Linked DNA regions of Macaca mulatta. The protein of the gene in region 2 interacts with the protein of the main gene of each other region in a biochemical or structural test. Links are inferred from orthologs where the notes say so. Each region holds a gene or a part of one and is shown on either strand. Other genes may lie near its edges.

Region 1 (3,813 bases), on a different chromosome or scaffold from region 2:
CCATGTGTATATCTGAATTCTTTGTTTTTAAAGAAGAAACAGCATTGAAGCATTATTTGGGGGGAAAAACACACACACAAAATCCAGCAACTCAGCATTCATGAGCAACTCTATACTATACCAGTATGTGCCTGTGCAGTGGAAGGAAAACAATTTTGGTAAGGATTAAAACTTTAGCTTTAAACTTCCAACAGGTTGATATTCTAATGAATGATAAATCAAAAAAATTTTAAAATATTCTTGTATTGACAGTGCTTTTTTAAAAATCACCCTACCTTGATACCTGTAATTTTAAAGTTTCCCATTTTTCTTTAAAGAAAAAAATCTGAATTTGCAGCCAACAAAAATTAGATATCCTAAGGTTGTGTTACTTCTGACTTTTATTAAAATATCAACATTTATTAGAGATGTTTATGGGCTGACTTTGTCTTTTTCTTCAAGGGGCCAAGTTCACTAATTGCTGAGTTTTATACATGACAGCAACAGTCCTTTTGTAGGTGTGTGTTGCATCCATCTAGATACTTTAAAATGCTCATCTATTTCATTTTTAAAATTATATGTGGGGGATTATCGGTAGTTTTTTGTTAAACATATGACATCTGTAGTTTATTTCACTAATGTAAATTTTTTCTACCTTTTACTTGATATAGGAAATATATCCTGGACAATTCCAACCATCTCTCTGTCACAAATTCATAGCCTTGTCAGATAAGGAAGGAAAACTACTTCGCAACTATACCCAGAACATAGACACGCTGGAACAGGTTGCGGGAATCCAGAGGATAATTCAGTGTCATGGTTAGTAAACTTCAGAATGGTTTTCTGTAATTTATTTTAGTTTTATAGGAGGATTTTTCCTCTAAAGCAGACTGCCATTGAGAAGTGGAGATAAAGCATTATTTAATCATGTTATCTCGTTAATTATAGATAACCTCCGAAAAGTAGAAAAGTAGAAAACAAAAATAATAAAAACAGTTAATTACATAAAACCTCAAATATTAATTTGCTTTTGATTTCAAAAGATGCTGCAGTTGCATGCATTCAGTTATTTTAAATAATCTTTTCTGGCTGGGTGTGGTGACTCACGCCTGTAATCCTAGCACTTTGGGAAGCTGAAGCGGGCGGATCACATGAGGCCAGGAGTTCGAAGAACAGCCTGGCCAACATGGTGAAACCCTGGCTCTACTAAAAATACAAAAATTAGCCGGGCATGGTGGCGTACCTGTTATCCCAGCCACTTAGGAGGCTGAGGCATGAGAATCACTTGAACTTGGGAGTTGGAGGTTGCAGTGAGCCAAGATTGCACCATTGCGCTCCAGCCTGGGAGACAGAGAGTGAGACTCTGTCCAAAAAAAAAAAAAAAAACTGATTACAAGAGTAATGTTAGCTATTAATGAAGAAATGTGACATCTTTAGTTTATGAAACTAAAAGAACTGGATAGTTGAGATGTACAGAATTCAGAGATTCAGAAATGTTTAATGTAAAACAAGTATGAACACGCCATTAGGTATCTAAAGTGTTTCTAAGAACTGCTGAACTAAGGTAATAGAATTGGAACTGTTCAACTCTGCAGGATTTTAGCTCTGCAGGAGCGAGTTATTACAGTTTTGTTCAAAAGAGTAGCTTTAGAAGGCATCATTATTGTCTCAGCGATTGAGAATTGTGTTCATTCTATGTATAAATAAATATATAAATTATTCATCCCCTAGATTCTCCTGTAGTGTATCACAAAATCTGCAGTGTGTTCTGAGGTTTAAAATCAAAGTTAAAAATCTTTAAACCCTGTTAACATTTCTGATGTCAAACTTTATAACATTCGTGGTGTGTTCAAGAAACAGAAATACTTCATTAATAAAGCACATATATGTTGGTTGTTTTTAGGTTCCTTTGCAACAGCATCTTGCCTGATTTGTAAATACAAAGTTGACTGTGAAGCTGTACGAGGAGATATTTTTAATCAGGTAATTTGTTTCCCGTATTTTAGGAATTGTGCATGTCTCTGAAGTATTTCTTCTTTTGCCTCAAAATCCTTTTTTTACCCTTAAAGGTATACGTGATACAGAAATATTCAGGAAGAAAATAGTAATTGGGAATTTTGGTAAAATATACAAGAACCTTTCAATACCTTATATAGAAAACAGCCCTATAAAGTCTGTTAAAATTATGAAATTGGCTTCTTAGTATCTAAGCCGAACCTAAAACATCAGATCATAAGCAAGTTGTTGTTGTTGTAGTTTTTCTCCTTCCTCTTTTTGTGCCTGTCAGATTTGAACCTTAAATTAGTTGTGGTAATCTTTTAAAATTATTTCATACATGTTCATTGCCAAAAAATATAGGAAAATGTAGCAGAAAATAAAAATTATCCAGAAATATGTCCTGTGTGCTTAGCAATATATAGAGTTAATTATATTATTATGAAAGAGGAAGAATAGTATATTAAAATGGAATCATTGTTCGGGTGCAGTGGCTCATGCTTGTAATCCCAGCACTTTGGGAGGCTGAGGTGGGTGGATCATTTGAGGTCAGAAGTTCAAGACCAGCCTGGCCAACATGGCAAAACCCCGTCTCTCCTAAAAATACGAAAATTAGCCTGGCATGGTGGCATATGCCTTTAATCTCAGCTACTTGGGAGGCTGAGGCAGGAGAATCATTTGAACTCAGGAGGTGGAGGTTGTAGTGAGTTGAGATCATGCCACTGCACTCCAGCCTGGGCAACAGAATGAGACTCCATCTCAAATAAATACAATGGAGTCATTTTGTTTTACAAATGTGTATTTTTCTTTTAAAGGATCAATTCCCATTTTGTGTATATACACACATTGTGTTTTTCCTCTTATATGATGGACTCTTCAATGTCAAGTGTTTTTCTATATAGATATTATAACAAGAGCATAGTATTTCACTGTTTCATAGTATGTTAATAAACTACCCATCATTGACGTTTAGATTGTTACCCAGTTGCTGTTTATCTATAGCTTTTCTGTTTTTTTTTTTTTTTTTTTTTTTTTAAATAATTCTGAAATGTATTCTTAGAGGTATGGAAATGTTGACTATTTCTAACTTGAGCTTACTGTTTGCTTCTCTGTCTCAACCAAAATCTGAAAATTCGTAGGTAGTTCCTCGATGTCCTAGGTGCCCAGCTGATGAACCGCTTGCTATCATGAAACCAGAGATTGTGTTTTTTGGTGAAAATTTACCAGAACAGTTTCATAGAGCCATGAAGTATGACAAAGATGAAGTTGACCTCCTCATTGTTATTGGGTCTTCCCTCAAAGTAAGACCGGTAGCACTAATTCCAAGTAAGTTGGTGATGGCTTTTGGAGATCATTTCTATATATAATGTCATGGGTTGTGGATCTGTATAATAGACCCTAACTCTAGTAATCTTACTCTGCTTCTGTTTGAAAGAGTGGTGAAGAGCTAATTTTCGAAATTGTTTGTTTATTTATTGAGATGGAGTTTCCCTCTTATTGCCCAGGCTGGCGTGCGGTGGCGTGATCTCAGCTCACTGCAACCTCCGCCTCCTGGGTTCAAGCGATCCTCCTGCCTCAGCCTCCTGAGTAGCTGGGATTACAGTTGTCCACCAACATGCCTGGCTAACTTTTTATATTTTTAGTAGAGACCGGGTTTCGCCATGTTGGCCAGGCTGGTCTCGAACTCCTGAGCTCAGGTGATCCACCCGTCTTGGCGTCCCAAAGTGCTGGGATTACAGGCATGAGCCACCATGCCCGGCCAGAAATTGTTTATTTATAGTAGAGATGAGGTCCTGTTGTGTTGCCCAGGCTGGATTTGAACTCCTGGGCTCAAGGATC
Region 2 (3,984 bases):
ACACTGTTTGGTCCAGTGATGATTTAATGACAACATTCGAGGACAGTCCAGACCAACCAACAGAGGCAAGGGGGTGACCTTGAGATTCACACGGGCTCAACTGTAGAGTAACTAAATCATAACACAGGGATGAAGGATAATATTAAGTGGACTCAGCAAAGGGAGACGGAAAAAACCATATTTGGAAGGTCTCAGTTCACTGTGGTACCATCTGAAGATGAGAAACAGCTACGGCACCAAAGTTTACGAAGTATTCAGTAGAGTGGGGCTAACCCTGCCTACACAGGGCTGCAGGTCACACCCACCCAGTATCGCAAAGGGTACCAAACAAGCCTGTAGCGTGTACATCCTTTGCCCTGGGTGCCCTCCCCATATCCAGAAAGGGCAAGGAGGCAGTCTTCCCCACTCCCTAGGCATCCATACACATGGGCTTGGGTAGGCTGCAGTCTCCCCCACTCCCTAGGCATCCATACACATGGGCTTGGGTAGGCTGGAGACAAGACCCCCCTCCCTTATCAACCACCAGTGCTTGATAAGGCTGAATAGCAGATACAGTCAATAAACCAGGCCCTAGGACCACAGCCCCCCAACCAGCCAAGGCCTGAGGAACTGGTGAAGTTTTTATTAAATCCACAGAAGTAAAAACCATATCGTGAGGAACTGGGGGATGGGGCCACCAGGGAGTGGGAGTCAGGCCACCAGGGGAGTGGGGATGGGGTGACAAGACAGAGAACAGAGCCAGGCTGGGCTGGCCATGGGGGCTCCAGCCTCAGGGGCCATCACCAGGGCCACCAGACAGCTCCTGGGAACTCAGGCCAGCACCAGGCAGGCTCATCGGCGGGGGCTCCACCAGCACAGCAGAGAACTTGGTGTCACCGAAGGCCTCGTTCATGCGCGTCTCGAAGAAGCGCTGCAGGCCGATGATGGACTGCACGTCTGCCTTGTCCTGGACCAAGCAGGAATGCAGTGGATGAATGGGTCCTAGCTCTTTCCTTCACATCTCTCCCTGCCCACAGCCCCTCCATTCCACTGGCTCACCTCAGTTAACTTGTTGAATTGCTTGAACATGCGGCCCACATCCTGGGCAAACTCCTGTGGGGAGCTGTAGGGAGGTGACAACTTCTCCTGCAGGCGGGCGCGGATCAGGGTCAGATCCAGGGTGCCACCGGGCTGGTCCTACAGGCAGAGATCACACATACACACACAAAGACACACATATACATACATAGGTTGAGGGTGAGACCCGGCAGCCACCACCGCCCACCCCCCCCGACTTTCCCGTCCTAGGACTCACCAGGGAGAAGGTGGAGTCGGTAGCCAATTGATGCAGGGGGCGGCAGGGTTCATGACAGAAGAGAGCCAGCAGAACACGCTCACATTTCTACAAACAGTGTACTGGATGTCACAGCTCTGGGTAGCACCTATAAAGCCTCTCTGGGCAACCCCACCTAAGTAACCCCAGCCCTCACCCGCTGGTTGGCTGGCGAGAGCTTGGCCACCACGCCAGTGCTGTCTGCACCATCCAGGCTAAGGCTGCCATCCTCCTCCTTCAGGTCAGGGAGCACATGGCAGAGTGAGCAGCTCCACTCCTCCCTAGGGTGAAGAGAATAAGGGTCTGCACATGATCCTGTCCAGACAGCCCAACACCCAGACTAGACCCACACCAGCCTCACACTCACCCTGGTACATCCTGCAGGGCCGGCAGGTGACAGTCCAGGTGGAAACAAAACTCACACTGGTTGCACATGACCAGATCACCTGGCTTCTGGCAGACACGGCAAATGGTGGCACTGTCATCCAGGGTTCCCGGGCCACCACCTGGGGCTGAGGTACCCTCAGGAGCCACCACCTCCAGCCCTGAGCTGGTGCTGCCACTAGGTGAGGCCAGGCGGGGACCCTCAGCACCAGGACCCTCCGCAAGAGCCATAAGCACAGGTTTGGTTTCAGGGCCCTCAGTGGCAGTAGGAGGGGCTCCAATGGCAGCCTCCGTCTCCTCCTCCTGCAAGGTGGTGATGAGGGGTGTTCAACAGGGTCCAGACCTGGACTACAGGCTTCATCCTACAGCTATAGTTCCTTGGGACAGACTTACCTTGACAATGGCCATACCAGCCAGGGGTGGCGCACCAGGGGTTCCTGCAGGTGCAGTCCCTGGCTGGCCAGTAGCTGCAGCAGCGGCGCCACGTTCAATAACAATAAGGTTGTAGTCCTCAGTGGTACTGCCTGGGAAGACCTTGAAGACGGGTGGCTGGCTGTCAGCTGTGAGGTCCAGGTCCAGGCGTTCCAGGCTCACTCGTGGCACCTTGCGCATAAGGCCGCTCACCTCGCCCTCACCTGAGCGGGACCTGTAGATGCAGCAACCTGGCATGAGCACACCCCTACCCTCCATCCACCTCCACCCCCAGGGGAGGTGCCACACTTACCGTTTCACACCTGACACGTGAGGCTCTGCACTTGAGTAGGGATCATCTACTTAGAAAATGGAGAAAGAAGACTGGCAGGTCGGGGTAGAAACAGCACTGGGGCCCTTCCCCACCCACTAGGCAGACCCACTCACCTGACCCGAAGCCATAGCCTTCCTGAACCTCCATGGGCTGTGAACAAAGCAGAGCCCTCTGCCTCAGTGGGACAGGAACCCTGTTGGACCCCATTCCCTGCCCACCCCTTTCTGGGTCCTCTCTCCTGCTCACCTGGCTGCTGCCAGAGCCCTGCTTGCTCAGGGGCCCTGGGGCTCTTGGAGGAGCCATGGGTGCAGGGCCTGTTGAGTTAGTGCCAGGACGCTCTGCCACAATCTTGCCTGCACAAAAAAAAGAGAAACATAAGCAGGTACAGCACATGGGGTAATAACAAAGCAGAGCAAGGTAGAGCTGGGACCCACCGAAGGCCTCGGCACTCTTGGTCCAGGCATTGAGGTCCCACTGAAACTTCATCTCGCCATGTGGCTCCACGGGATCCACAATCATCTTGAGGGCCCGGTGCAGCTGGAAGTAGATCTGGTTGGGAGTGAAAGGGAAGAAAGAATGAGCACACCAACAACAAATAGGGATTTGAGGTACTGGGAGCCACCTGCCTGGAACCCACCAGCTGGAAGCCCACCAGTACACACCAACTTCTTAGAAAGCAGAAGGGCTGTGTTGTTGTCACTCTCCAGAGCCCAAGAGGCAAAGCGCAGAATGTGCTCCTGGTGCTTCTGGATCTTGGTCATGGTCCAGTGCTGCCGCTCCAGGCGCTCCTGCTGCCCCTCAGTAACCTTCTGCAAATGGAAGATGTATGGGGTAAGCAAAGAAGGCAGAGAACACTAGGATCACTCCTTACCCGGGAAAGCATTATCAATCAGCAGAGCGGGCTCAGGGACCCTCTCACTGGCACAAGGATTACCTGGGCATCGTTGACCAGCACACGGCCCCGCTTATTCAGTTCCTTCATGATCTGCAGGATGGCCATCTTGACATCCACTTGCACACGCTTCTGTACATCAGACACCTGGCGAATCCTAGGGGACACAGCAGGTCAGGCTAGGTAGGGTCTTGCTGCCCTGGGCCACTCCACAGCCCCAGAACCCACACTTACGAGCTGCGAACCTCCTTGGTGCTCTTCTGCAATGTGGCATGTTTGTCCCCAAGGCGCTTCACCAGTGAGGCCAGGAGCTTGCGCTGGTTCCTCACTGCATCCTCTAAGAACTGGTACCTGAGAGCAGACAAATGTGTTCCTGAGCACTAAACTAGGGAAGGGGTGGCACCCACCCAACCACTATGCCTTGGGACTCACTGGTGGTCCTTGTGGGCATTGAGCTGGCAGTCTCGGCAGGTGAGAGTATCACAGCTCTCACAAAACAGCACAAGGGGTTCATGCTTGTGTACGTTGCAATAGACGGTACGTTCACCATCCCGAGACTTGGCTGGCCCTGGGGAGTCGGAATCATAAGGCTGGACCTTGCCCTTCACCACCCCCAACTCAGGAAGCAGACTAAGTTGGGGCCTCATTTCC

The links.
Region 1: of the proteins of TRIM28 (region 2) and SIRT1, one has a biochemical effect on the other in vitro, tested with the Homo sapiens proteins (2 studies listed by BioGRID). The link is inferred for Macaca mulatta from reciprocal best matches to the Homo sapiens genes TRIM28 and SIRT1.

The regions. Positions count from the first base shown.
Region 1 is NC_133414.1:81,856,684-81,860,496, reverse strand, and holds part of SIRT1 (NAD-dependent protein deacetylase sirtuin-1), read left to right. Parts: intron 1-33; exon of another isoform or gene 34-125; coding exon of another isoform or gene 126-158; intron 159-650; coding exon 651-798; intron 799-1,882; coding exon 1,883-1,962; intron 1,963-3,113; coding exon 3,114-3,300; intron 3,301-3,813. UniProt on the Homo sapiens protein: NAD-dependent protein deacetylase that links transcriptional regulation directly to intracellular energetics and participates in the coordination of several separated cellular functions such as cell cycle, response to DNA damage, metabolism, apoptosis and autophagy.
Region 2 is NC_133424.1:70,686,164-70,690,147, reverse strand, and holds the end of TRIM28 (transcription intermediary factor 1-beta), read right to left. Parts: intron 3,902-3,984; coding exon 3,766-3,901; intron 3,685-3,765; coding exon 3,568-3,684; intron 3,491-3,567; coding exon 3,376-3,490; intron 3,251-3,375; coding exon 3,104-3,250; intron 2,991-3,103; coding exon 2,876-2,990; intron 2,795-2,875; coding exon 2,688-2,794; coding exon of another isoform or gene 2,660-2,687; intron 2,592-2,659; coding exon 2,555-2,591; intron 2,470-2,554; coding exon 2,421-2,469; intron 2,343-2,420; coding exon 2,090-2,342; intron 2,000-2,089; coding exon 1,680-1,999; intron 1,594-1,679; coding exon 1,470-1,593; intron 1,382-1,469; coding exon 1,295-1,381; intron 1,177-1,294; coding exon 1,039-1,176; intron 947-1,038; coding exon 770-946; 3' UTR 608-769; downstream 1-607. UniProt on the Homo sapiens protein: Nuclear corepressor for KRAB domain-containing zinc finger proteins (KRAB-ZFPs).